Linked DNA regions of Mus musculus. The protein of the gene in region 4 purifies or fractionates together with the protein of the main gene of each other region. This does not show direct contact. Links are inferred from orthologs where the notes say so. Each region holds a gene or a part of one and is shown on either strand. Other genes may lie near its edges. The genes, in order: Strip1, Strn4, Map4k4, Zranb1, Strn, Strn3 and Gcc2.

Region 1 (4,273 bases), on a different chromosome or scaffold from region 4:
AGTGTGGTCTGGTTATCATCCTCTCAGTGTTGGTTCTATGAGATGGTAGAAGTCCTTTTTACTTAAGGGACAAGCTGGTTCTCAGGAGTTGATTCTTTCTCCTCCAGGGTGCACAGGCCATGATAGAAAGAGCTGTTCGTCATCCGGGGATGCTGTGTTCTGTGAGGCTTTGCCACTCCTGATGTCTAGAGGGTTGAGGCCAGTGACCAAGAGTCTTGTACCTGCTTCTTGGGGAGGGAGGTTTCTGGAGGAGGACACTGTAAAAAGTAACATTAAAACCATCTTGGTTACTCCTATGTGTTTGGCACTCAGACGTGACGGAGAATGAGGTGAGAGGCCACCATTTTTGGATGATTGCTCTTTGAGTCAATACAGATGTGAGCAGGTAATTCAGAGTAAACGAGACAGCTACAAAATGAAGGCAGAAAAGCAAGAGCCACTTCTAAGGGATTATTAAACACACCCTCATTTCCCCATGATTTCTCTGTTATATTTTCAATTTCAGTTTTATTTATTCATTTGTTTATCTCCCCCATGTGAATGTAAACTCCACGAAGACTAGAATCCTATTTTTGTTCATTATTATATCCTTAAAAGTATTTGTCAGTGGCTTGAGGACAGATACAACTTCATACTGTTATCCTTAGCCCCCAAGAGTCTCTCTCTCTCTCTCTCTCTCTCTCTCTCTCTCTCTCTCTCTCTCTCTCTCTCTCTCTTTCTCTGTCTCTCTCTCTCTCTGTCTCTCTTCACTTCAAGTTCAAGACAGGGTTTCTCTGTATAGTCCTGGCTGTCCCGGAACTCACTTTGTAAACCAGGCTGGCCTCGAACTCAGAAATCTGCCTGCCTCTGACTCCCAAGTGCTGGGATTAAAGGCGTGCGCCACCAACGCCCGGCTTTTTCCCCTGTTTTGATAAGTGAGATTATTAACGTGGCTCCAGAGGTGTCTTGGATGGAGTTATAATCTGATAAGTAAAACCAGGAGTCCCCAGGGTTGCACAAGGTGTTTCTTACAGAGTCCTACTGACTTGGAGGTTTTTCAGCTGGAAGGTTAGAGAAAAGCCACAACCAGTTGTTAATTGTACAGAAATTCTTTGCTAGGAAAACGTGTCAACTAGACCCATGAGTCAGGAATTGCTTTCTTTAATGATGTCTCCCTAATTTCCCCTTTCATCCTGCCTCACCTTGAACAGGGAGGGCTCTAAAGACAGGCAAAGCGATGATAGACAACGAATTAAAGTGTTAAGTCTCATGGATAAAAAAGACATCTAAAGGGATTCCTGCGAGCCCAGCCGCACGTCTCCGGCTTAGTTCCACGGGAAGGAGGGAGGGGAAACTAAATGACAAAGCCAGGAAAGACCTTGGGAGGTGATTGGCAGTTGCGGCTTTCGACACACGCAGCCACACTGAATATGGCGATTGGGGAAATTTCCTGGAGGAAATCACGCGAGAGTTGCCTGACGGGAGGCCGTCCGCGAATTGAGCCGGGGGTGTGGAGCAGCCAAGATGGAGCCGGCAGCCGCCGGTCCCGGCCCTCTGATTGTGAACAACAAGCAGCCGCAGCCGCCACCTCCTCCGCCGCCTGCCACCGCGCAGCCTCCTCCTGGGGCGCCGAGGGCCGCCGGAGGCCTCCTGCCGGGGGGCAAAGCCCGCGAGTTCAACCGCAACCAGCGCAAAGACTCGGAGGTCAGAGCTGCAGGGGGGCGAGGCTGGCACCGGGCGGGTGACAGAGGGGGTCCCGGGAGACCGGGGCGGCATCCGGGCCCAGCCGGGCTTCCCGACGGCTTGACAGGGACCCTGGGAGCTGTCACTTTACCGGGAACCGTGCAGTTAGCTAGGCTGGCAGCCGCCACAGCCCCGGGGAGGAAAGCCCGGAGCCCTGTCACCAACTCTGCTGCGGCCGGGGGAAGAAGGTCCCCGAGCCGGGGATGGCCGGTCGCCCCCGGGGGCGTGGCCTGAGGCACAGCCCTCCTGGGGTGCAAAATCGGTGGTCTGCTGGCTGGTTAGCCCCTCATCCTTTCCGGCCTCTGATCTTAGCAGGGTGGTGGGCCACGCCAGTTGGCAGCGAAGGGACCCAGGAGAGTTTAGCGGGCGCTTAGAACAGGGCTTCTCTCTCTAGTGCTGCTTGGCCGGCCCCAGGTTGTGTGAGTAGCAGAGAGAGCACATTGTGGCTTCCCTCCGAATTTTAGTCAGCGCTGGATCAAACCGCGGCCAGACATTGCCAAGTATTTTTGCATGCCCAGTGAGCCCAGTTGCTGAGCTGTGAAGGGATCAGAAGTACACAAAGGGCGCCGGATTCTCCTCCTTGCTAGTGAGCTGCGATTCCCTTTGCCCGCGCTGTCTGGAGCTATTCACCTCGCCCCAAGTTAAAATTCCTCCCACTGCTTCCGTTTGCAGAATTCATGAATGAACACACACCCGTCTCGTCGCAGCATTTCAGGGCTTCCTCATCAGCACATTCATTCCCAGAGCGCTTACTACGCAATCTCCTCCACCTGAGACAACTTCCAGTGTGATGAACAGCCAGGCACTTACCGAGAGGGAATTCCTCAAATTCAAATTTGATGCTTCAGCTAGTACCAGATACTAAAGATAGTGTCTTTAAGCCTAAGAAATCAGTTCCCTCCAAACATTTTGTTGTTGTCGCAGGCTCAAATTCTGATAACTTATGTCACAAAGGAACAAGCCCAGAGTTGAGAGGATGAGTTTAGAGTGGCTTTTTTGAAAAAGATGGACCTTTTAGGAGCCTTTTGTTGTGGAATGATGGGTGATCAGTGGCTACTTCTCAGTGATCTCTTAAGTACGAAGGAGTATGGAAGTTAAGTTTGTAAGACCTTTAATGACCAGACTTGTCCAGGTTTTCTGAAGAGAACCCTGAGAATTGAACTACACCTTCAAATTTCTCTTTTTAAATGTTTGAGTGGACTGGAGAGATGGTTCAGTGGTTAAGAGAACTTGCTGTTCTCTCAGAGGATCCCAGCACCCAAGTTGGGCCGCTCACAACTGCCTATTAGCACACTAGCTCCTAGGGATCCAGTACTGTCCTTTTGTCCTCCATGGGCACATGTATACACACACAGATAAACACATAATACATTTAAAATAAGTGCTTTAGGGATGGCGGGATAGCTCAGCAGGTAAAGTAGTTTTAAATTTTCCTGAAAAGCCACAAAATAGTCAGATAAATACCCTTTTGTGCATTTTATTTTATTTGTTGTTTGTTTGCTTCTTTGTTTTTTGTTTTGTTTTTGTTTTTGAGACAGGGTTTCTCTGTGTAGCTTTAGCTGTCCTAGAACTCTGCTCTGCAGATGGGGCTGGCCTCAAACTCAACAGAGATTCATCTGCCTCTTGAGTGCTAGGATTAAAGGTGTGCACCACCCCTTATTCGTGTTATTATGTGGTGCTGAGAATCAGATTCAGGGCCTTGTGCAAGGTAGGCAAACACTATACTGCTGAGGTATGTCCTCAGCCTCTATTACATGTTTTTATTTCTCTTCCTACCTTTAATTTCACTGGATTCAACATCTGGAAGGCCCATCACATCGATCTGTGTCCTTGTGTTGGAGGTGCTGATGCTGCACACCCTTCTGGTGACAGCTGAAGTCAGTAGTTTGGGGATCTGATCAGTGCCTAGAGCACAAGGAGGCTCAGTATGTGCCAGGTAAACTTTATTAGTCCTCAAAACTAGCCAAGGCAGTCGAGCATGCTTCCAGTCACAACACTCCGGAAGCTGAGCAAGGAGAATCAGAGTTCAAGGCCAGCCTGGGCTGCATAGTAAAACCTTGTCTCTATAAAAATACACTGGGGGGGGGGGGCTAAGAAATGGTAATGGATTTGGGGGTGAATAAGACCACAATATATTATATAATGGGAATGAAACTGTCAAAAAAAAAAAAAAGGTCTTAAGCTAAGTTTGAAGCAGAGTTTTGTCATTCCCATTGGGTAAATGAAACTCAACCTCAGTAATGTATACAAATGTTGATTTTAGTTGTGTTTTAATGGGACTGGGACTTGAACCCAGGACTCTACACATGGTAGGTAATCATTTTACCACTAAACTCTGTCTCTAGCCTAGAAGCTCAGTAGTGTATGGAAGTGTCCATTAGTGCCCATTAATAAGGAATAGAGTTATGGCTTGTGGGCATATTATGTCATGTCAGGGGTCATTATCAGTTAGAAGGTTTTCCCTGACCCCACTCTCCATCTCACTCACCCACCCAGCTGCATGCTGAGAATTAAGCCCAGGATCTAGCACCTACTAGGAAGGTGCTCTGTG
Region 2 (4,208 bases), about 120 Mb from region 4:
GGAGACCAGCCGGGAGCAGGAGTGAGTAACATGGGGCCTTGCCTAGGAAAAGTGGTCAGGGAAGAGAGTGAATCTGAGCTCATACTAGCTTTCCATTTCTTCCCCCACACATTATATACGCTGAGTCTGATGTTAAATGCTTGTATTCCCAGCACTTGGGAGGTGGAGGCAGGAGGATTGAAAATTCAAGGTCATCCTTGACCACTGCTTGAGTTTGAGGCCAGCCTGGGCTACATGAGACTGTCAGAAAAACAACAACAACAACAACAACAACAACAACAAAACAGTGTTTAAAGATGGCCCAGCAGGTTCTTGATACCAAGGCAGACCTGAGTTTAGTCTCCAGAACCCAAACAATACAAGGAAAGAATCAACTCCGGCAACTCAGCCTCTGACTTCCACACATGCACATGCACACAATAAACAAACACATGAAAAAAATCTAAGCGTATGCATCACTTGGAATTAGCCTTAGCCTTTTCAATCACAGTAGGTACAAAAAGGAGACCCATTCAGGAAAGCCTTTAAGGACATAGAAAGGGCAGTTACCCATGTGATTACTGTGACATCCAGGGACTCTTACCTCCCTAGGTTTCAGGCTGAGGGTGATCAAGAAGAGTGGTTTCACCTTGGGTCATCTGCCCTGCTGAGGGAGGAACCAGAAAGCATCAAATGAGCCAGCCCCTCCCAACAAAGTGCAATTTCATTCTACCCGCCCGTGAAAGTAGCTAATGAAGTCACAGACTCTTTTGTCTATTTGAAGTCCATAAGCCTGGTTACCACTTCAGTCGTCTCAGGAGTGATGTGGTGGGTAGGAGTCATCAATTGTAAGCTATAACTATCCCTCTTCCATGATGGTGTCCAGAAGGGCAGAAGTGACAGCAACTGTTACCATGACAACCTCTTCTCTAGACTCATGCATCCTTTGGAGCTAATCCTAAACATCCCCTATCTTACAGGACCTGATTGCTAGGATCATCAGACTGTGGGAGATTGCCCTGTTATAGTAACCAGGGCATGGATTTAACTGTTTCTCATCTCCCTGGAAATGGTCCAGGCCCTGTAACCATAGCAACTGTCCCACAGCAGCACTTGTCTTCTAAATAAAAACACCTGGTTGGTTTATCCATGGACTTTCCATAAGGGAAGGGGAGATGGTTACCATGGTAATGGCAACTGGGTTGGCTGGGGGAGGAGTGGGACAGAGGCATTCCTCTTAGAGGAATGTCTTTGGGGCTGGGCCTTTTTTCTACCTGAGCTCTAGGTGAGGGGAGGTTGCTATAGTAACTGATGAGGATAGGGTCAGAAGAACCACCAGGGACTTGGGTTACCTTAGCAACCTCCTCCTAGTGCAATGATAGTAGAGGTTTGGGACTCCACATATGCAAACTGGGAAGGGGCCTCCAGATTGGATAGGGTTATTATGACAACCGACTTCCTCTGGTCAGAGCCCACTCCCCACCCCAGGTCGTCTTTTTTGTTTTTTGTTTTTTTTTTCTTCACTAAGTGAAAGAGATGGGGGTGTATTTGCATTTGGAGGGGATAGGACTCTGACATTGGGGAGAATGCAGAAAAAAAAGTCCGGTCTGGTCTCTCGACCGCAAAGGAGACAATTGCGAGGGACCCTGGGTCCTTTGCCTACGTAGAGGCAGTCCCTCCCCCTCCCTGTCAGCACCCCCGCCCGCGCGCACCACCGGGGTCGACCCGGGTGGGTGGGCGAGGCTCGCGCCCAGCCCCGTGCTTGTCCCCGCTCCCCTCGCCCGCCCAGCGCGCGCGCGCGCGCACACGAGGCGGGGGTGTAGAAGTGTGAAGCTGCGCGTCCGCGCAGGCGCGCGAGGTACAGCGGGCGCGCGGGCCGGCCCCGGGGCCTCCATGATGGAGGAGCGAGCGGCCGCCGCGGTCGCATCGGCCGCCTCCTCCTGCCGCCCTCTGGGCTCGGGCACGGCTCCCAACCCGACGGCGGCGGCCCCGGCCTCCAGCCCTGCTCCTGGGCCCGGCCCGGTAGGAAAAGGAGGTGGCGGCGGAGGCAGCCCGGGCCCTACGGCGGGCCCGGAGCCCCTCAGCCTGCCGGGGATCCTGCACTTTATCCAACACGAGTGGGCACGCTTCGAAGCCGAGAAGGCCCGCTGGGAGGCCGAGCGCGCCGAGCTGCAGGTGAGCGCCACCGCTGCCCTCCCGCGCTCCCCGCCCCAGTCCTGCCCGGCCCGGCCTCGCCTCACCCGCCGCCGCCGCCGCCGCCATCTTGGAGCAATGGCCGCCGGGACGGCCGGGAGGGGGCGGGCAGGGCCGGCGACGGGCCGGCGGCGGGGTCCTCGGGGCCTCGGGGCGGACGCGGGCCGGGACCGGTCAGAGGATCTGAGCAGGGCCGAGTCTGCCGGGAGCCGCGAGTGGGAGTGACGAGCCCAAGCCCAGAGAGCCTGTCTGGGCGATGCGACTCGGGGTTCCCGGGGGACAGAGTGCTGAGAAAGTGGATGGGGTCTGCGCGAATAAATATGCCACGCCTCGCCTCCGGATCCTAACCAGATGCTGGCTGTCAGGGTGGAATGGACTAGATGTCTAGTGGGGTGACACACTCTTAACATCCACTGGGTGCAGGGAGTGAAGAGAGGAAGACTGGAAGCTGGCATGGGGTACCTTGGGGGAGTGGCTGGCCCGGAGCAATTGAAAGGTGGGAGGAAGCTTGATAGGAAGGGGTCCCAGGATGAAGTGTGTGGCCTCCTGTCCAAGAAGGACACTTTGGGCACGTGTGGCTACAATGTAGGGACACATTGGGATCGTTTGGGTGGAACCACGGAGAGGGTAGAGGACATGTTTTGGGCTCCCCCAGGAGAGCTTGAGAGTGGGAAGCGACATTTTGGGTGCTTTAAGGAATTAGAGTTCCGTTATGAAAGATTTGAGGATGTTAGGTAGAAACCCCTGAACTGTTAGGGCGTTTGTTGGGTATATTCAGTGGGAAGACAGGAGCGTCTGAGATGCTGCACACGGTGAAGAGGGATGGAGGTGCCTTTGGGTGATGAGTAGGGGGAAAAGACAGCACGAGGAGGGACTCCGTGAGGGAAGTGATTGTGTAAGGGCCTCTAAAGGGACTTGATGGTTTGTGGAGAAGAATGTGCCAGGTGATGGCTCGTGGAGTAGAAGTTGGGCTGGGCTCTGTGACCTTGAGCTAGGTACTGCTTGTGGGGAATCAGAAAGGTGAGCACTTCAAGGCCTTCAGGGATGGGCCCCCAGGAGTCAAATGGTTCCTAGGCTGGGATGTTATTAACAAAAACAGTCAGCGCTTGGTTTCTGGCAACCCATCTTTCTGTTTCCAATGTGCTCTTTCCTGTCAGATTGAAATGGAGCCCCAAATAAGTGACTGATTCAGTTTTTGTCCATGGGATGAATGCCAAGAGCATTTGAATTTTGTGTATGTAGCTCCCATCCCTGAGAGAGAAGTCCTTATGTAAGTGCTCCTCGTGCTGTGCCCAACTCTAACTCAGGCTCTTTCCCAGCATACATCTCATCAGATCTTCTCAATACCCCATTATGTAGGCAGGGCCAATGTCATTACCTCACTCAGCAATAACGACAGCAGCTGCTATTTATTCAGGGCATATTATGTGCCTGACACTGTATTAAGTATTATACATGCTATCATTTAATTCTTGTGGCATTCTGAGAGGGGAAATGGTATCCCTTCCTCTCTTTTTTAATAAGCAGGGGAGGGAGATGCTACGGATCCCAGCAGTGGTGGCAGTGCTGACTGTGTCTTTTCCCTGTCTGACACTGAGCACAGGTGAGAAAAGTCTCTAAGGAAGCTTAGAGACCTCACCAGGTCACCCAGGCCATCACAGCAGAGCTTGACAGGGGTACAGTTGACAGCTTTCACTGTGTCAGCCATGCTGTGTATCCCAGACTCCACTCAGAGTGTACAGTATGTGCTGCCTCCTAAGAAGAGGTCTTCCCACTCACTTAGTGACCTTCTGTGGAGTCACAGAGCATGCTCTGTAAGGCTCCAGCATCACCAACTTCATGCTTTTGCTACTTTTGTTGCATTCTAAGTCAGACATCAGGATGTGTGTGTGTGTGTATGTACATGTCCTGAATGTGTTAGAATATACCACATTCGACACTTCATAAGTCATACATTTAGTTCCCTTTCCCCATTAGCAGAGAATACTTATTTTTGATAGCTTGGGTAGTATTCTCTTGGGTATTCACACCATAGC
Region 3 (3,982 bases), on a different chromosome or scaffold from region 4:
GTGCATGCTTAAAAATGTCCCTAAAGATAGGGTGTGTGTGTGTGTGTGTGTGTGTGTGTGTGAGAGGGAGAGAGAGAGAGAGAGAGACTGAGAGAGAGAGAGACTGAGAGAGAGAGAGAGAGAGAGAGAGACTGACTACCTACCTGTAAGTAAAACCAAGCACTACACTACTATGTATGGGTTACACGCACCTTTTACATCAATGTCTTAAGAGATTTGAACTCAATATTTTTCAACTGCACTGGGTATAGTTAACACATCCCCGTTACTCCCCAAAAGCAGTGTTTAGCAAATCTACTTCAAAAGCCTGGGGGCGGGGTGGGGGGCGGTTAAAAGAGGAGAGGTAGAGGACAAAGAACTTGCCCAGATTAACACCACAAAGTGTCCACCTTTTAAAACCAACTAAACCCACGCTGGCCTTTTAAAAGGCACTACTGCTTTCTGGCTTAGTTCTCTACCCGCAGTTTCCACGCTGACCCAGGGAAACACAAACAATCCAACTACTGTGTAATCAGGTCAAAAACAAGCTCTGGCTAACTCACTTGGAAGAGTCTACTCACAACTTAGATCTGGCCAGAAAAACTAGGTTAGAAAAAAACCAATCCGTGCTTAAACAAACTCTGGAGCTGGGAAGAGTGTCTTTAAGCCAGTTACCAGCCAGCCACTCCAGTGAGTTGCAACACAGTCTTTTCCAAAATTTTCCAAAGCCTTCCAAATTCAGTTGGGCCCAGCAGGCTGTTAACAGGGCTCCCTTTCAAATTCAAAAATCTGGCCCAGGCCCCAACAGTTAACCAACAAAACATGCTAATTCACTTGAGATCACCTAAGAGTACTGACTCAGGCTCTGACCACAGGCAGGCCTGTCAATACCACCTTCCAGGCCCCGTGCTGGGGAGAGGGGGAAGCTGGAGCCCCGGAGAAGCAATCTTGAGCACATAAACCCTATTCACAAGGCTGAAAAGGGACAAAAGAATCCACACTTAATTTGGCCTCAGAAAATGTCTACAGTCAGCTTCAACCACCACCCCCATTTTTAGGGAAACAATGACAATTCTTCATGGTGAGCCACAAAGCCCTCCTTCATAAGATAATTTTTCTCTGTGTGTGTAGCTCAACCTTGACCCAGTCCCAGTAACTAGAAAACTCCCCAAGCAAAGATAATTCCAGAAAACCGTTTACCAACAAGAAGGAAATCAGGAAACCGAACGAACGTAAAGGTTTTTGCTTTGTTTTGTTTGTGTTTTTTTTTTTTTTACACTTCGGAGCCTGAGCCGCCTTCTAGACCGAGCGAGCGAAACAGAATGAACAACAGTTCACAGCCTTAGGTGCCAGCTCCGCGGCGACACAGGCCAACAGATTCCTCAGCTTCATCTGCAGCCCAGGGAGGAGGATAAATTTAAAGAGAGAGAACGACCAGGGGTGGCGGGTGTGAAGTCTGGCATCCTCTCTACTCCTTGCTCTCTCTCCTCCCAGCCATCTCAATTACACAGCTGTCACAAAGGTTATTCCTGGAATTCACATTTTATAATCCCCACACTGTAATTCCTCCTGTTCCCGTGGCCCAAAAGCACACTCCCCCGCCCGCTTCCCCAAGATACTGTCCACTAGAACAGGGTATGCTGGCCAAGCTTTAAAATCAGTACCAGGTAACGCTAGCCTCCCCAAGTTGGAGCCTACGGCAAGCACTCCGAAGGCAGAAGCACGATGACATGTCTCAAGAATACCAAGGCAGTGGCTGAGTGGAGTCATAGGCAAGGCCTGTCTACACCGAATTTTAATTCACGGACAAACGCAAACGCATGAAGGCCAGATTTGGAGGAAAGGGGGTTTGGGGGGAGACCCTGTGGTCACCCTCGAACACAAAATTCCTTTTCTATTTTGCTAAAGCCAAGTGCATGCCTAACAGTGTAGCTTATTTCCTTTATCTCAAAGCCAGGAAATGAGGTCTTTTAAGGCCAGTCTGAACACAGGCAAAAAAACAAAAAAGAAAAAGAAAAAAAAAGAAAAGCCAGGCGAAACCCCCTTTCCCAACTTTGGCCAGGCGGCACGGCCTGCAGTCAGCAGCGTTTCGTCACCCTTTCCCTCGTCCCCTAAGAAGTTTCTCCACGCCACGGGGAACAAAGGCGCCCCACACCGACCTTATAGACTTGTCCATAGGTGCCATTTCCAACCACTTCCACCAGCTCAAAAATCCCAGCAGGGTCCTGGAGAGAGAGGAGGGGGAGGTTATCAACTCAAAAGAGGGACCCCAACCGAGGAGGGCGAGAGGGCGGAGGGAGGGATGCAGGGCGGTGACAAAGGCTCGCCCCGCCGGGTCCCCGGGAGCGCCGTGGCACCCGCCCGCCCGCTCGCCCGGCAGACAAAGGGGCCGCCGCGCCCGCGGGTGTCCGTGTCCACCGCGGCGCGCAGGGCGCGGCCGCACTCACCCGCAGGGACGACAGGTCAATGTCCACCAGGCTCTTCGCGGGAGAGTCGTTCGCCATCTTCCCCGGGTCGCCGCTCCGGGAGCGGGCGAGAGAGCGAGAGACGGGCAGGGGCTCGGCGGCGCCGGGGCTCGGGCCGCACGGGCAGGCCGCCGCCGCCCGGGCGGCTTGTCGTCCGGTCGGAGCGGAGCGCGGCGCGGAGAGCGCTGGCCGCGGAGCTCACACCATGGCTTGGCGGTCCTCCCTCGGCCCCCACCCGCCCCCCGGGCGTCGCCCGCCGCCTCAGGCCCCGGCGCCCCGCGCGCGCGCGCCTGCACGAGCGGCCCGGAGCTGGGGCCGGAGAGCGCGGCGAGCGAGCGAGCGCGAGGCCGCGAGACAAAGATGCCGCGGGAGGCGGGGGCGGGGGCGGGGACGCGGGGCACCGACCGGCGCCGCTGAGGAGGGGCGAGCGACTCCCCCGCCCCCTCCGCCGGGAGAGCGGGCGGAACCCGGCCCTCGCCCTCGCTCGCTCGCCGCCCGCCCGCGTGAATATTCAGCAGGGGTGGGGCTCGAACAATGGCCGGGCGGCCGGCCCTCCGCGGATGGTGGCCCGGCCCGGGGTGGGGCCGGGAGCCCTCGGGGCCTTCCCGGAGGAAGTGCGGGGCGCGGCGGAACACCCCAGCCTCCGCTAACAATGAATGAAAGACTCGGAGCGCCCCGGCGGCCCCGTGGACACCCCACCCGCGCCGCTCGCCCGGGAGAGGGTGTGCCAGGACGCGCCGGGGTCGGGCCTCGGACCCCTCCGCCGCCTACGGCCGGTCGGTCCCGTAGACCCTCGTTTCCTTTTTACCCCCCAAGGGGTGTTCCTCTCCTTTCTCCTTTCCTGTCTCAGTTTGTGGCTTGGTTGCTGCTGGAGGATTCGCTGAGCATCACTTGACCGTCCGGGAGAATCCAAAACAGTCGCTGTGATTGCTCGCTGCTGTGTTCCCCGAGCCAGTTTGGCCCATGGGAGGGAGGGCGGACGGGCGAGCCCTCTGCTCGGGATCTAAAACCCTGACAGTACCTGGATGGAGATCACCACGGGTCACCAAACAGGCTTCTTCCAGCATGCCACAGCAAGTCAGCTAGGCAGTTCAACTACTGTCCCTCTTTATCACGTCCCAGGACCAGCCAAAAACATGTTTAGTGACTCCCTGTTACCTCACAGCGGGTGTTCTCAACAGTATCCCAGAATGGCCAGGTACAAGATCGCTGTAAAATTGCTTGACTCCCACATGTAGAAGGCCTAGAATGGGCCTGATAAGTTAAGAGATGAAGCTAAGCTTGGTGTTACATGGCGCCCCCCAAAATCCACTGTTTCATGGGCATCTAGTTGTCAATAACGTTCTGCACCTCCCTCCCCACACACTCCACACTGTTCTGATTTAAGCAGTACACACCTTATAGCCTCGGAGTAGAAAACCCCCAATACTGCAATTGTTGTACTCAAACCCTAAAGACCCTAGCCTAGAGAGGAGCGAGCATACTCTCCACTTCGGCCTATACCCAGAGTTCAAGTCGCTGCCCCCAGAGAATGTCCA
Region 4 (3,716 bases):
TGTGGTGACAGTGTCTTATCTCACAGAAGTCCAAATTAGGTAGGCTATCCTAAAGATGAGGCAGTGCTTTGGAGTGAAGTCAATTCCAGAAACAAAACTGGTTAATTTTTAGAGTTTTGATTTTAATATGCCCAAATGTAGATGTGAACTCTTTGTTTGGGGGAGGGAGGGTAACCTAATATTTATAAAGTGACTGAAAACTTCCACTTGTACTTACCTTCTGAAGTAGCACTCAATGCTCACAATTCCAAGGTTCCTGTTCCTGAGAGAATGAAGTGTCTTACAATGTAAGCCTGTCTGGCTGCCTTCTTTTTAGGAGGGTGCTCTACCTTAACTGCGCTATAAAATGAGCTCACGTGGAGTACCTTCCGTATTACAGATCTTGTCAGTGACTGTGGAAAAAGAGGCCCCAACCATCTACACAGCAGTACTTAACATTTGTTATGGCTAGTGTAGTAAACCTAACAGTGAGAAACAGAAAGTCAGATCTGAATCCATGGTGTGCCTAGGTTTTGTTTAATTAGATTGTGGTTGCTCAAACAGTCCTTTAGAAATGATTATAAACTGACTCCAAAGAACGACAACATCAGGATAAAAACAAAGTACTGGTTTCACCCTAGAAAAAGAACCATAAAGTCCACGTAGTTATAAAAGTATTACTGTCCAGTCCATCTGAAAATCCCTATACCTGCCACCCAGCCATGTATCATCTTTTACAAAGGACGGCATTACACTTTCTTGGGACAATAATTATGGCTGTTGGTTTAGTTCAAGAGCTTAACATAGCGCTGATTTCCCAAAGGGGTTGGCCATTTCACAGCCAGCAGTCTGCTAGAGAAACTAATGAAAGCCCCATTCCTATCTTAAGAGTCCAAGAAATGGAGCCTTCTTTAATTCTTTCCCACAGGGAAGAATGGGTACCTATCAAATTATGTGTGGTCAGGGTCACTGGTCATAAATAAATAAATAAATAATATAAATACAGAGGGAACTCAGGAAAGGACACTCAAGAATTGACAATATGCAGAACAAGGCTCAATCCTGAGCCTGACTCTGTACCACAAGGTTTGGGTACAACACAGATGCACCTAGAGACCAGTGTTACCCTCTCAGCTCTCTGTGGCTTATTTGGGAGGAAGGTTTTGCTTAACTGGATCTCTGCCTCCTGAAAAATCAACTCTACACATGGAGATCAGCTATTCTAGATGCTATGGATGCTAAGTACTTAGAATGACAGCCTTCTATTGACTTGGTTATCATTCACTGATCAAAATGAAAACGAAATAGTCAATTTGTAGAAAAACACTAACTACTGGAACAGTAACATTTACCAGTATTGTTACCACAATTCATTTATATGGAGTCACCTACTGTGAAAATTACTTTCTGGTTTTAGCATGCAGCATAAATGATCTTTCATCCTGAGAACACCTTTTTATTAAGTGTTCACAAGAGAGAGAACTAAAGACATAACAGCTCATAAGTTTTTTCTTTTTAGTATTCCAGCAAACTTAAAAGTTGTATACACTTCAATACCATCTCATCAGAAAAACAAGATTTAAAGGTTTCACAGCCTTTTCATTAAAGGGGAGGAGAAGAGGAAATGTGTGTATTTGCTACTTTGCAACTGCTTGCCACATCAGTCTAAGTGCTTATCAGGACACTACATGTTGTGTGCCTGAGGAGGTCAGAAATGTTTACCCAGTACTAACATATACCTGAAGTGGTCAATTAACACTCTCCATAAATTTTTTTTCTAAAAAGTATGGTTTTAACTTTAAATAATGCTACAACTAACCAACATGCAAAAATTCTCAGACTACACAGAAACTGATCATACAATGCATTGACCACCTTACTGCATTTTAAAAATCTTTATTCTGTACTGAACTGTATTCCCAATCAGCCTAACCAAAGGCCTGCCCCTAATACAGGGTCTGCTTAGAGCAGAGGTGACAAAGACAGGAAGTAGCTGAAGACTGTCTGCATGGCCGCCTGGGAACAGAACAGGTTGAGTCCAAGTAACTGTCACATAACCCACCCAGGGATGAGTGAGCCTGCTCCCTTTCCATCCATCCATCCATCCAGGGTAGAAGTGCACAAATGCACCGCCCAGAGTCGAGTAAGAACCCCCTTTACAGGGCACTCTTCCAAACAAATACCTAAATAATGAAAGGGGCAAATCGGAAAAATTGAAAACAACAGAAACTAAAACCCTCTTCAAAAAACAAGAGACAATGTTTATGTTAAGTTCACTCCAAAAACTTGCTAGTTTTTCTTGTAGTTTGTTCCTAAGGGTTTGATTTTTTTTTTTTTTTTTTTTTTTTACTTTTATTGGGCACAACAGGAACTAAATTATTAATAAAATAAAGGCTTGTTTATTTTTATCTTGCCGTGGATAATTTGTACAAAGTTTCCAAATCTCTAAAACAATGGGAAATGGGTCTGGTGTGGTGGGAGCAGGATGTCAGGTGCTAATGAGAGAGAGAGCATCTCACTGGTCTGTCTGCTATGTGCTGTTTATGAGTGCCCATGCTGGGAAAATGGTCTCAGTAACATGAAGATGCTGGTGCACTTTTCCTAGTACACAACTTCTCAAACAACCACATGCGTTACATTCATAGACAGATTTACAATTTGAAAGGAAAAAAAAGTTCTGTCAATAAAATTAGGTTATTTTTTTTCTTTTTTCTTTTTTTTTCTTTTCTTTTTTTTTTTTTTTTTTCTTTTTTACAAACTGTAGTTCAACCAAAGTTCTCCATCTCCTCATGCAGATGCAGTCAATTCTCTCCTGTGAGTGTGGAACAGAAAGATAACTTGGGAGCAGATCCGGCAGGGTATGGCTCGCTCCATGCTGCATATTCTGTTTAGGATACCACACTAACTTTGAGGCCACCTCAGACCTGATGCCTTGGTCTTTTTCTTTCCTTAGGTTTGTTGTCATTCATCCTCATCATCCTCATCTTCCTCTCCATCAGACAGGGATGTACAAGGCCGGATCTGTCTGTAGCGGTCAAGCCATTTTTCTACCATTTGTGTGACCAAGGGGTGGTTTCTCCGCCGAGAGCTTTTCTGCATGGCCACTAGAACTCCCCCTTCAGTCACACAGCAGTCCAGCCACTCTCTGAGCAGTTTCTCTTGCTGCTCCTCATTACCTAGCTTTTAAAGGAACACAAGGAAAAGGCAAGTCACACAGTATGTCAGGCACTTGGTAGGAATAACTGGCAGCTCCTGTGATAATGAAAAAGCAAAAGCAAACAACTGTTTCTACCCCAATTTCAACCTTTTCTCAGTTTTATCATCAAAACCCAGAAGGTTTTTGCATTGAGATTAAATGAAACAGCCTTCTTCACAAAAGGGTCTAAGAAAACACCCTAGAAGGTTAAATTATTTGACATGCCCTTCAGAAAAATACCAAGAGAAAGGTCTCAGCTTCAGACGTGACAAGGTAAGTCCGCTGGGTAAACTACATCTGGGCTGAATTGTACACGTCATGGGCTACTCTTCCTTGACACTGTGCTCGTGTTTGGGAATTACTAGAATACATAATAAATAGCCAATCATTTTCTAGAACATGGGCTTCCTGGGTATCTTTTATACATCCTCACTACCTCTCTGGCTGGTCTACACTGCTGTCACTGCCTTATATGTACCCTCAGCTCCTTGCCCCACGCCCTCTCAACTCACTCTACCCTGGAGTGGTAACACAGGCAGGC
Region 5 (3,500 bases), on a different chromosome or scaffold from region 4:
AAACCCAACAATTAAATTTTCAAACAGATTAATGGTGTGACAAACAGAACAGCTACTTACATCATAAGCTAGTGAGTCTGCTTCATTGGCCACCGTGAGGCCTGCTAATTCTCCAAGCCCCAGCTCGCTCTCAAGGGCTTCGTCTGCTCCCATGATAAATGACTTCCCAGAAGAAGGGGGGAATGTCAGCGCTTCCACTGAGGAGACAAAGGCCAGGTTACACACCTAGACAACTCACAGCGAGGCTTGCTTGCATTACACTTCTGCTAAGTGATCATGTACATTTTTACTTGATCAATTTTCTGGGTTGGTTTGTCTGTTTGTTTTCTGAGCCTAGGCTGGCCCAGAACAAAGGTAATTCTCTTGCCTTGGCCTCCTAAGTGCTGGAATTACAGGCCTGAGAGATTATACCTCTATTACTGTTAGGAAATTTTGCAAACAGTGAAATTTCCTAGCAAAAAACAAAAACAAAAAAAAATCTTAAAGACTGCTTGTTCATATATTATCCTGCTAACAGCATCATCTAGTTAGAAAAGTAAAAGAGAAACAGACCTAGTAATCTACTGTCCTTCCCTTTATCATTACACAGAAACTAGTGAGTCTAAAACTAAGGTTTTTCTCTATTTTATGATAATTACTCAGATAATGTCTACCTACCAATTACTAAGTATATCAACAAGTAGTTCTTGCTGTATGTTCAACACTGTTGATCTCATACAAAATAAAACCAATCGAGTCTATAAGCTGGAATATTGTAGACATTTCAAAGTGAAAACTCTACAATGTGCCTATCTAAGAAAACTTAATATACACTGTTAGAAGTCAGAGTTCTCTCCTGAGGTGAGACAAGTGACAGAGGTTAAAGGCCACAGAGGACGCTACATTAGTAATATCGAGCATCGCTACTTTAGTGATTCCCTGTTCCTTGATCTGAGGGTGACCGTATCAACAGGCCGTGGCTACTTCTGATTTGTGACGATTGAACGAGATGCTCCCATGTTTTATTTTTGTTGAGCGCATTAAATAGTGGCTATCTGATTTAAAAACAACAGTGGCATCTGGATGTGCACAACTTTAACCCCAGCACTCTGGAGGCCCAGGGAGATGAACTGCGAGGCCAACCTGGCTGACATAATGAACTCAGGCCAGCCAGGGATAAGCAGTGACAAAAACTAGGACTAGTGACAAAAACTCAAAATCTGTCAGAAAAAGAAAATCACTGTCAGAATAAACCATGACACAAATTAAGCCACTCTCAAGCCACACATACACGAGAGTGGCGCCAGTAAGAACTAAGCTCCCCCTAGCACGCTGCGCATCCCCTGCAGGGGTCAGACAACCCTAGCGCTCTGCAGCCTGACAACTGTCCAAATGTAGTTTTCAGGTCAAAACTTCAAAGAACCACTCATGTGCACCTAGGAGACTAGGGATTCCCCAGGTGTCTTTTCTTTGTCCTATTTCCCATTTCTAACATTTTTATAAGTGAGGTAAAAATGGCCTGTCCTGCAGACAGTAAGACTTCTTAAGACTTGTGGAACAGAGCACAGCATGGGTGCGTGGGTTAGTAGTAGCTAATGCTCTAGGAAGGTCTAGCCAGGGAGGGGTCAGAAGAGAAAGCAACAGGGATGTCGCATCTTTACGTGGGTGGGCATCTTGCTCTCTGGGTCCTCAGAAGTGAAGAAATAGGTTACAGTACCTTGGGTAACTACATAGTGCTGCCTTAATCAGCTTCTAGAAAACCAACAAGACCTCAGCTACTACCCGGGACTAAGGAAGCTCTTCCTGAGTGCTGGGGGAGACGCTTTAGTGACGGGCGAGTAACTGTAAAGTGAGCAGCCCTTCCTCTCCTTCCCGCCACCCCACCTCACTCACGTCTGCCCACGGTTTTCCTCTACTCAGTCCTTCGCCTCAGTGCTGGGGATGAGCTGAGCTCTGCGTGAGGCAAATGTCATTTCACCAATTGACAAACATTCCCAATCCTAAACTTTCTACATTTGTATACCATGGAACTGCACTGTGAAAAACTAGAAACAATCAACATATTTTAAAGAAAGAATTTGATTTCAAATCTAAAGTATAATATGTAGCATTAAGGCTGAACTTGAAAATCAACAGTATGATTGTATACTAAATATAAAACAAAACAGAACTAGTCTACATGATGGCTGTAACTACGTTTTTAAAAAGTATATGCCAGCAGATAAGGACTTTTGAAAGGGACCAAAGAAACATGGGAAACAGAAAATATGACAATAGGTGGCTTTCCCTCCATTTTGTTACTGTTACTTTGGGACAGGGTCTCACTGTGCAGTCCTTGGCTGGGTTGGAACTTGCTATGTAGAGCAGACTGGCCTCAACGCATAGAGAGCTAGTTTCCTCCGCCTCTGAGTTCTAGGATTAAAGCATGTGTCATCATGCCTAATGTCGCTGCATTTTTTAAAACGTGTTTATGCTGACTTTCCAACTTTCTGACTCAATTTCCTCACTGCTGGCTTGGAATTAACAGTTAGCATTGAGTTGCCATGGAGCTAGGGAATATTCAAAACCAGAAACTAAGAGTTGGTTCTTAAATTTATGCCCTTCACTCCAAATCACAGACCGATGCTAAAGACCGCCTTAAGGAAGCGGATGTGTGCAGACTGTGTGCTCTCTGAGGAGGCTCAGTTCGGTCCTAGGTCCACGCGCTCACCTTCATCTGCCCTACTGAGCTCCTGTTCTGGAAGCCTGGAGCTGCTGGGTCTGGAAGGGGAGCCAACAGATGGCTGCAAGGAGGGAAGTTCATCAACGTCTCTCAAATTAGCAAGCATATCTTGTAGTTTTGACCTATTGGGCCCTAGCCAAAAGAGGTGGGAGGGCAGAGGAGGAAAAAGAGAAAACAGAATCACTCATCTCATAAAAACTGCACAACAAACCTTTTCACACTGCCAGCATTTACCTTCAAAATAGCCTACTAGATTCATCAATAAGCAACAGTCATTTTTGAAGTTTTCAAATTTTAAGAGTTTATTACTGCTGGAAAAGAATTATATTTAAATATATGTTTTATAAATTAAGTTAATGGAATCACTACACGAGAAAGAATGTCATTTCTAGTATGTATCATTAAAAGGCATACTCATCTACAATGAAGCCAATGACTAGTGGTCTAAATGAAGCCAATCACAGATCATGAACCGAATGTGAACTCAGTTGAACAGTAACTCTGCTGCTTGCTTAAGTTAAGTTACATTCACTGTCTACATCCTGCAGCTACGGAACCCGGAATGAAGTCTCATGTCCTACTGACTACTTACCTGGGCTTTGTCTCTTCATTCTCCCACATCCCTGTTTTGACTGTTTTATATAGGATAGAGGCTGAAACAGATCTTCGGTAGTTTTTCCTGTTACAAGTTTAATTAAGAATGGGAAAATCTTACCCATAGTCCGTTATGGTATTTCCTTTACCAGCAAAGAATACAACTATTTCTAAGCAATTTTAACTAGTACCTAGAAAAATTTAA
Region 6 (3,874 bases), on a different chromosome or scaffold from region 4:
TAGCTAACTTTTAACTTTATAAGTGCAACTTTCTACTAGTAAATGACACAGTTTATTCTTTGCTAATAAACATGTCTGTGGAAACAGGTATACCTAAACAAGACAACACTACTTTCTATTAAGTAAAACTCAGATTTTACAGTAATAAGATATCTAAGCAGATTACTGAAAATATTGCATCTGTGAAATCTGGGGGGTGAGGATGACAGTGGGTGCCATATTTTAATAGCTTAAAAGCTACCCCCTGGTGGTACAAAATTACTCTGAAAAGTATTCTTAATAGTGTTTCTGCTGTAACCTTACTAGAATCTCATTAAGTACAACAACGTATGAAAAGAATAGCATACCCAGCACTTGGGAGGCAGAGGCAGGCGGATTTCCGAGTTCAAGGCTAGCCTGGTCTACAGAGTGAGTTCCAGGACAGCCAGGGCTATACAGAGAAACCCTGTCTTGAAAAACCAAAAAGAATAGCATAAAAATGAAGGACTCCACTAAGAAAGCACCTTCATTTCCTAGTTTAATTGTGGAGAGTATTGCACTTTATTATTCAACACGAAATAATGTGGCCAAGAGCAACATACAGGTACACAATTTAATATTTATTATATGTATTTTATATACATTATTTTTCAACAGCTCTATGTTTGCTCTGGGGTACAATCTTAAAAATCTGCTGATTCATAGTCTGTAAAACAAAAACCTTACAAAACTCATCAAAACTCGCAAACTGATCAGAAAAGGCTTTTGGAAGACTAGAAAAAATACTTTATTGTCTTAATCATGCATTACACAAAGAAAATCTTCAGTTACACCATAAAAGTAAGCACATCTAAAAAGTAAAACAGGGAGACTGTGAGTCCAAATCCAGCAGACTTCTGTGTCCTGATTCAACTTTTTTTTAATATCTTATTTGTAATGGTAATAAAATATTCTCCAATTTTCTAACTAGTTCATTTGTTTTGGAATCATGGTAAATCAAGAATCTTGGGGAGAAACATCTTGGTTTGTAACTTAACTATAAAATATTCCATTTTTAGTCTATTTTAGACTTTTCAAAGAGTTCCAAAATAGATATACAGGTTCCTTTAGCACATTAATAAAAGGATATAAAGACCAACAAAAAGTAAAATAAATAATAGGCTATTAGCAAGATGGATAATCCTTGATAAATAAACTTGTAAATACAGTAAGATGTACAAAATATCACATAGTGATAGGATGTCAAGATTAGTTTTTAAAGAGTTCCTTTGGAGTACTAAACTCCACAGCTTTGTTTTAATACACTTAATAGTCCTTGGTTCATGAAGACATGTAGACAAAGGTGATTGGTTTATCATCTTTATGAAGGACTTAGCTGAGCTGTATTAGGTAAAAGGAGGAAAGAAAGTGGTTATAGGTGGCAGGTTAGTGAGATCTCTGTGTTTTAGGGTTGTATAATGCAGAAAAAACATCAATATGATCTTGAGCACTGTTGTGACAGGCTAAATATATAAAAAGACTTATAAAAACTAGAATTTTATCCAAACATTTTGTGCAACTAATGCTAAAATATTTTAAGTTAAATTTTCTTTTCTTTCTTTTTTCTTTTTTCTTTTTTTTTTTTTAAAGCAAAATAACTTTAAAAGGGAATCTGTGGCATTCACTGATGAACATAAGATCACTAAGAGATGAACAAAGCTACTCTTGGAGCTTGCTTCCCCACCAGAGCACCACATTCCTAACCCTAAGGCAGCACACAGAGTCCAACAAAAAGTCCTTCCCCCTAAGAGCAGACTCCACATTGGCTTAAACACCTTAAAAAACAAAAACAAAAACCGCTCAGTTCATATCCAGTATAGGGCACAGATACTGGAGTCCTTTTTCTTTCTGTCCCACAAAATACAGTTAATTACACTTAAACTAATAAACCTGACATTAGGATGTGATTCCCAATTTCTGCCTGCCCCAATCACCAGGCAGATCACATGTAGTGTCATGTCAGGAACCTTCATGATGGCAGTGATGCAGACCCCCTTTCTGACCAAGTAAATCTTTTTTTTCTAAGATGCGAGTCTATGTTGGTTCACACAAATACTTTGGCAAGAGCATCAGCTCCTGCACTGGCGATATATGCCTTTGATGGATGGAAAGCAACATCATAAATTGACTCATCCAATTTCTTCCTATGAGCTGTTATTTCTTGTACACATGTCTTACTGTCCAAATTCCATAGTCTAATGGAACAGTCATGGCCTGTAAAAGAAGGGGGGGGGGGGAAGCTTGTTACTAAGGAGCAATTCTTTTATAAAGTTTGTAGGGTGTACTGAAGTTCAAACTTACTTCCAGACATCAAATAGATTCCATTGGGATCTACTGCTAAACTTGTAACAGCATCCAAATGAGCTACCATAGAATGGATCATTTTACCTATAAAACATAGCAGAAGATTAATGCTGAGAGGCAACATAAAACAATCACCATCACAGTATTTTTTTTAAGTTTTGGAAAGTATTCACAACATACAAGTTAGTATTTAATTATTTGGGAGCACACAATTCACAGTGAGCAACCACTACTACTTCCGAGCCCATCACTGTGAAAGAAAATCTTGTTCCAAGTATATAATCTTTCCCCAATCCCTAGCAACAATGGCCCTCTCTAGAAACTGTCCAATTCTAGATGCTTTACACTAGATTCTGAATATGTGGCTTTTGTGTCTGGCTTCTTGCACATATTTTTCAAGATGCATCTACCATACTAATAGACTAAAGAAAATTTTTACCATTAGTTATTTTTAAAAGACTCTGCTCCTAAATGAAGCATTCCTCTACAGGTAGGGGCGGGGGAAAGGATGCTCACTGGAGTCAGAGCATAAACAGTAAGTAGGTTACATATCTGAGAAAAGTAAAAACTTGGAAGACTCAGGAAATCCTGCCCCACCTTTTTTTTTAATTAAATTTTAATTGACGTAAATGTGCTGTATGTGTGTCTACGTATGTGCCAGAAGTCATAGGTGTTGGCTTCCTGAAGCTGGAACTGCCTGATGTGGGTACTGAGACCGTTTCCATAAGAATAGTATGTGCTTCTTAGCCACTGAGCCATTTCTCCAGCCCTTAAGTTTTTTAGAAGCAGTAAACAACTCTTTTTAGAGATTTCTCGCATCTGCAAACCTACCTCCAAGTTGTGCAAGAGAGCTCCACCCTTACTCACACTGGGGTGGGCCTTTCCCTATTGCAGCTGGTTTTTGTTTTTAAATCTATTCTGTAAGTAGCTCTCACCGATGCATCCTCCTGTTAGCAAACCTCAGTAAGACCTTTACAGTTCACCAATTAGGACTGAGCTCCCACCCATCCAGACCCTTAGGTAGGAACCCCAGTTAAGACCTTTTTGGTTCACCAAGTAAGATTTAGACACAATCATATTTTGGTCTGTCCTGGGTTCCTTTCCTGGGTTGAATATTGTATAGTGTTTTACTATAAAATCCACTACACAATAAAGATTCACTTATTTGTGTGTGTGTGTGTGTGTGTGTGTGTGTGTGTGTGTGTGTGTGTGTTTGCAAGTTTAAATTTAAGGAAATTATCAAGAAGAAAAAAAAAAAAAACGGCAGACTGGGAAAAGATCTTCACTAACTTTACATCAGACAGAGGGATAATATCCAAACTATATAAAGGACTCATGAAGTTAGACTCTAACAAACCAAACAACCCAATTGAAAAATGGGGTACAGAGCTAAAACAGAGAATTCCCAACAGAGGAATCTCCAATGGTTAAGAAGCACTTAAAAGGAAATACAGAGAAAACTGACCCTGAAATTCCATCTTACACCCATCAGAATGGCTAAGATCAAAACCTCAAGCGACAGAACATGCTGGAGAAGATGTGGAGCAAGAGG
Region 7 (3,500 bases), on a different chromosome or scaffold from region 4:
GTCACAACTGACATTCTCTTGGCCTTTTCTAGAAGCAGAATAGAAGACGTGGAAGTGGCGATTCTACCTCACTAAAGTCTGAGGGAAGACGCTGCACTGGTAAAAACTCGACAAGTACGGGTTATAAGTCCCTAGCTCTGCCCAAAGCTTCCAACCAAGAACACATGCATCTGAAGTCAATAGATGACAGAATTAGAACTCATGCCAACAGACTGATAGGTGTATGTATAAGCCAAACAAAAAATAAATGCATTACACAGAGGGTAACACAATTATGAACATCAGTGGTCTAAGAAGTTGCATAGGCTGCTCTAAGTATAATCAAGAAGGGTTTATATGACTCAGGTTTATTTCCAGTAAGCAAATCCATAATTCATTAATCACAGAATCGACACAAGTCGGTACTCAGTAATCTTTTCCTTTAAGTTTTACATGTTTTTAATTATTACTATTACTGTTTTTATTTTTGGTCTTTGGGCGTTTTGCACGTATGACTGTATATCATGTGCAGGCAGTGCTCTCAGAGGTGGAAGAGGCCACTGAATTCCCTGTGACTGGAGTTAGAGACAGATGTGAACCACTATGTGGGTGCTGAGGACCAAACCCAGAATTGCTGGAATTGCAGCAAGTACTGGTAACCATTGATTCATCCAATATTTTACTTTCTTATCAATTTGTGAATGATGCTCTTATGTGATATGTCAGAACACAAAAAGGTCACCCTCCCACACAGTCACACATACTTCTTGTGGATGGCTCACTCTTGAGCTGGAAGAGCTGAGCTTCCAGCTTGGAGAGCTGGTGCTGCAGAGTCTCCACTGTCTTTCTGTGCTCATCCTGCAAGTGTCGAACTTGGTCTCGGAAGCTGGTACGGAGTGCTTCATTCTGGGATGTTAGCTGACACATTGTCTGCGAGTGCTCAGACTTCATCATGGTGTTCTCAGATTGAACTGAACATAGCCTGAAGGTGAGAAGAGCTAAGTTTGTATGAGAGTGCTACACAGCAATGGACTACACTTGCTGAAGCAGCCTGTCAGCTGGATGCTCTGGGTTCAGTGCCCAGCACCATAGAAACTGGACACATTAGTACATCCTTGCAATCTCAGCACATAGGGGTGGGGCCAAGAGGATCAGAACGTCACCCTCTTTTACATAATGAGTAAGACTAGCCTGGGAGATGGAAAGCCCTGTTACACTTTTAAACACACACTTTAACACAAACACATACACACACACACACACACACACACACACACACACACACACACACACAATATTATTCTATTGTTATGTGATTTTATATAGGCAGCTCATATAAGATTCATCTACCTATTCCATACTACCTTGAACATGAGAAAAGGATACTTTTCATAAAGAACTCAAGGACTCAAAGGAAAATATTCATTTTTGAGTGAACTAGCATGAATCACATAGACACAAAGACCTGATTTATTACAGCTAGTTCTAACTTTTCCAGCACATCAGATTTGCTGGTTTACCTTGTAAAACACTAACACCTAGTGTCCATACTCCTGCTGCTGACTCTGAGGTAGTGGGGTCCTGGGAATTAGCTACTAGCAGCAGTCCTCCACTTGGGTTTGAAACAGTCAGGGCGACAACAGTGAGCAGACCTTCACTTGGGGAGCAACTACTTTATTAATTAATTAAAGTTTATTCTTTTTATTATTATGGTGTGTGAGTGAATGATGGGTGTGTTATGGCCATATACATGGCAGAAGTCAGAAGACAAGTTTGTAGTCACTTCTCTTCCTTCTTCCACTTGTTCATGGGCAGCAGGGGCTGAATTCATGACCCCAGGCTTGCTCAGCAAGGGTCTCCCTGTTTAGCCATCTCAGCAGCCTGAGCAACAATTTTTTAAAACAGTTTATTTGTATCTTTGTTATTTTATGTTTGGTTTTAGCAAACCTCAACTCGAAAACATGAATAAATTTCCAGAAATATTTGCTCATAAGAATTAGAAGCAATTAGAAGCCAGTTAAATCTGCCCTCTCCTGGGTCTCATGCTTGCCAGTCTCTAACCTGATTCCAGTGTTAAATGAACATTCTTACCTATTGGGAGTATAATGTATTAAAATAAAATTTTCTGTCATAATTTTATACACCATATTAAATTAAAATGGATTTAGTGGCTAAAGAAAAAAATAAAAAAATCATTGATCTTTTTCTTTTCTCTTCTTTCCTTTCCTTTCCCCCCACCCCCCTTTTCAAAGACAGGGCCTTATAATACAGTTTGAGATGGACTTAAACTTGTTATGTAGCCCTAGTCCTGAGCCTGAATGCTGAGACTACATGTATGTGCCACCATGCCTGGCTTTAGCAAAAGGGGTCTCAATGACCAAGTTCATAGTGACTAGTAAAACACTGTACATAGTGTTTTGCAAGCATTTTGTTCATGATAGTTACAAGAACATAAAGGAGAAATCATCATCAGTTACAACAGCTTCCTGATGGCTGAGACACAGCTCGGAAGCATAGCACTTGCCTGTGTTCAATGTCTGCCATTATACCAGGAGTACTTGGTAGTAGCCTCCAGGTGCTATCCACAATGGATTTATCACAAGCTAGCTGCCTGCAAGCTCCTCACATGCAACTGGAAATCCAGTCCCGACAGAAGCTTATCATTCTGTCCCAGTTGTGACTCGGGTGTTTATATTAGTTGGGCTCTGTAGGTTGTATAAACATTGGTTGGCCTCATTAGTGAATAATTACTTTAATTCCTCTTTACAGCAATAAAGAAAATGCTTTTTAAAATTTGACAGTTGGGTTGGAAAGCTTTTTTTTTTTTTAAATAAAGTTCCTGATTATAAAGGCTGTAGGCAAGGTGCAATATCAGATGTTAGTTGTTCTCAAAAATGCTTAAGATAAAAACAGTCTGAAGGGAAGTTTGCTAGTAGGTAAGGCAGAGTTCTCAAGCCTCTATAAGCTCTTACTCCTGACTGCAATCCAAGGGGGGGGCGGGGGGCACAGCAGAGTGCCAGGCTGCTTGCCTGCTACCAATGGCACTTGCTGCTGCTGCTGGCAGCCTTACTTTTCCCGAAGTTCTGCCTCTTTGGTCACAGTTTCCTGCAGCATCCGGTTGTGCCTCTCTAGCAGAGTGTCGTGCTCAGCCTGCAGGGTCTGGTACTCCGATACACTGATTTGTAAGCTATTTTGGCTGTCCTGTAACTTGATTTTCAGTTGGTCAATCAGCATTTCCAGGTGTTCCCTAAAACAGAAATAGTTTAACAACATTTATGAAAGAGGTAAACTCATTTTGTGGCCTCAAATATGTTTGCTGTTTCAGTGTCAGACTCTTGGTGACTGGGCATGATTCTAAAGAATACATACTCACAAGAATTACAATAGTTAAAAAATGTTATATTGACATGGCAAGTATCAGGCACTACAGATTTACAAAAAGATGTTTCTGGAGTTTAGCCTATATAGCTATGGTTGGCCTGATACTTGCTACAGAGCACAAACTGGCTTTGAACTAGCTG

Evidence for each region.
Region 1: the proteins of Zranb1 (region 4) and Strip1 purify together in Homo sapiens (affinity purification with mass spectrometry; 4 studies listed by BioGRID and IntAct, with this or other methods). This does not show direct contact. The link is inferred for Mus musculus from reciprocal best matches to the Homo sapiens genes ZRANB1 and STRIP1.
Region 2: the proteins of Zranb1 (region 4) and Strn4 purify together in Homo sapiens (affinity purification with mass spectrometry; 4 studies listed by BioGRID and IntAct, with this or other methods). This does not show direct contact. The link is inferred for Mus musculus from reciprocal best matches to the Homo sapiens genes ZRANB1 and STRN4.
Region 3: the proteins of Zranb1 (region 4) and Map4k4 purify together in Homo sapiens (affinity purification with mass spectrometry; 3 studies listed by BioGRID and IntAct, with this or other methods). This does not show direct contact. The link is inferred for Mus musculus from reciprocal best matches to the Homo sapiens genes ZRANB1 and MAP4K4.
Region 5: the proteins of Zranb1 (region 4) and Strn purify together in Homo sapiens (affinity purification with mass spectrometry; 4 studies listed by BioGRID and IntAct, with this or other methods). This does not show direct contact. The link is inferred for Mus musculus from reciprocal best matches to the Homo sapiens genes ZRANB1 and STRN.
Region 6: the proteins of Zranb1 (region 4) and Strn3 purify together in Homo sapiens (affinity purification with mass spectrometry; 4 studies listed by BioGRID and IntAct, with this or other methods). This does not show direct contact. The link is inferred for Mus musculus from reciprocal best matches to the Homo sapiens genes ZRANB1 and STRN3.
Region 7: the proteins of Zranb1 (region 4) and Gcc2 purify together in Homo sapiens (affinity purification with mass spectrometry; 3 studies listed by BioGRID and IntAct, with this or other methods). This does not show direct contact. The link is inferred for Mus musculus from reciprocal best matches to the Homo sapiens genes ZRANB1 and GCC2.

What each region holds. Positions count from the first base shown.
Region 1 is NC_000069.6:107,628,911-107,633,183, reverse strand, and holds the start of Strip1 (striatin-interacting protein 1), read left to right. Parts: upstream 1-1,473; 5' UTR 1,474-1,503; coding exon 1,504-1,683; intron 1,684-4,273. UniProt on the Homo sapiens protein: Plays a role in the regulation of cell morphology and cytoskeletal organization. Required in the cortical actin filament dynamics and cell shape. Part of the striatin-interacting phosphatase and kinase (STRIPAK) complexes.
Region 2 is NC_000073.6:16,814,481-16,818,688, forward strand, and holds the start of Strn4 (striatin-4), read left to right. Parts: upstream 1-1,408; 5' UTR 1,409-1,872; coding exon 1,873-2,154; intron 2,155-2,219; exon of another isoform or gene 2,220-2,252; intron 2,253-4,208. UniProt on the Homo sapiens protein: Calmodulin-binding scaffolding protein which is the center of the striatin-interacting phosphatase and kinase (STRIPAK) complexes.
Region 3 is NC_000067.6:39,899,731-39,903,712, reverse strand, and holds the start of Map4k4 (mitogen-activated protein kinase kinase kinase kinase 4), read right to left. Parts: upstream 2,801-3,982; 5' UTR 2,484-2,800; coding exon 2,427-2,483; intron 2,205-2,426; coding exon 2,139-2,204; intron 1-2,138.
Region 4 is NC_000073.6:132,983,176-132,986,891, reverse strand, and holds the end of Zranb1 (ubiquitin thioesterase Zranb1), read right to left. Parts: intron 3,160-3,716; coding exon 2,941-3,159; 3' UTR 501-2,940; downstream 1-500. UniProt on the Homo sapiens protein: Ubiquitin thioesterase, which specifically hydrolyzes 'Lys-29'-linked and 'Lys-33'-linked diubiquitin. Also cleaves 'Lys-63'-linked chains, but with 40-fold less efficiency compared to 'Lys-29'-linked ones.
Region 5 is NC_000083.6:78,667,062-78,670,561, forward strand, and holds part of Strn (striatin), read right to left. Parts: intron 3,381-3,500; coding exon of another isoform or gene 3,294-3,380; intron 2,834-3,293; coding exon 2,690-2,833; intron 198-2,689; coding exon 61-197; intron 1-60. UniProt on the Homo sapiens protein: Calmodulin-binding scaffolding protein which is the center of the striatin-interacting phosphatase and kinase (STRIPAK) complexes.
Region 6 is NC_000078.6:51,608,041-51,611,914, forward strand, and holds the end of Strn3 (striatin-3), read right to left. Parts: intron 2,407-3,874; coding exon 2,320-2,406; intron 2,233-2,319; coding exon 2,063-2,232; 3' UTR 501-2,062; downstream 1-500. UniProt on the Homo sapiens protein: Calmodulin-binding scaffolding protein which is the center of the striatin-interacting phosphatase and kinase (STRIPAK) complexes.
Region 7 is NC_000076.6:58,290,026-58,293,525, reverse strand, and holds part of Gcc2 (GRIP and coiled-coil domain-containing protein 2), read right to left. Parts: intron 3,227-3,500; coding exon 3,050-3,226; intron 962-3,049; coding exon 744-961; intron 1-743. UniProt on the Homo sapiens protein: Golgin which probably tethers transport vesicles to the trans-Golgi network (TGN) and regulates vesicular transport between the endosomes and the Golgi.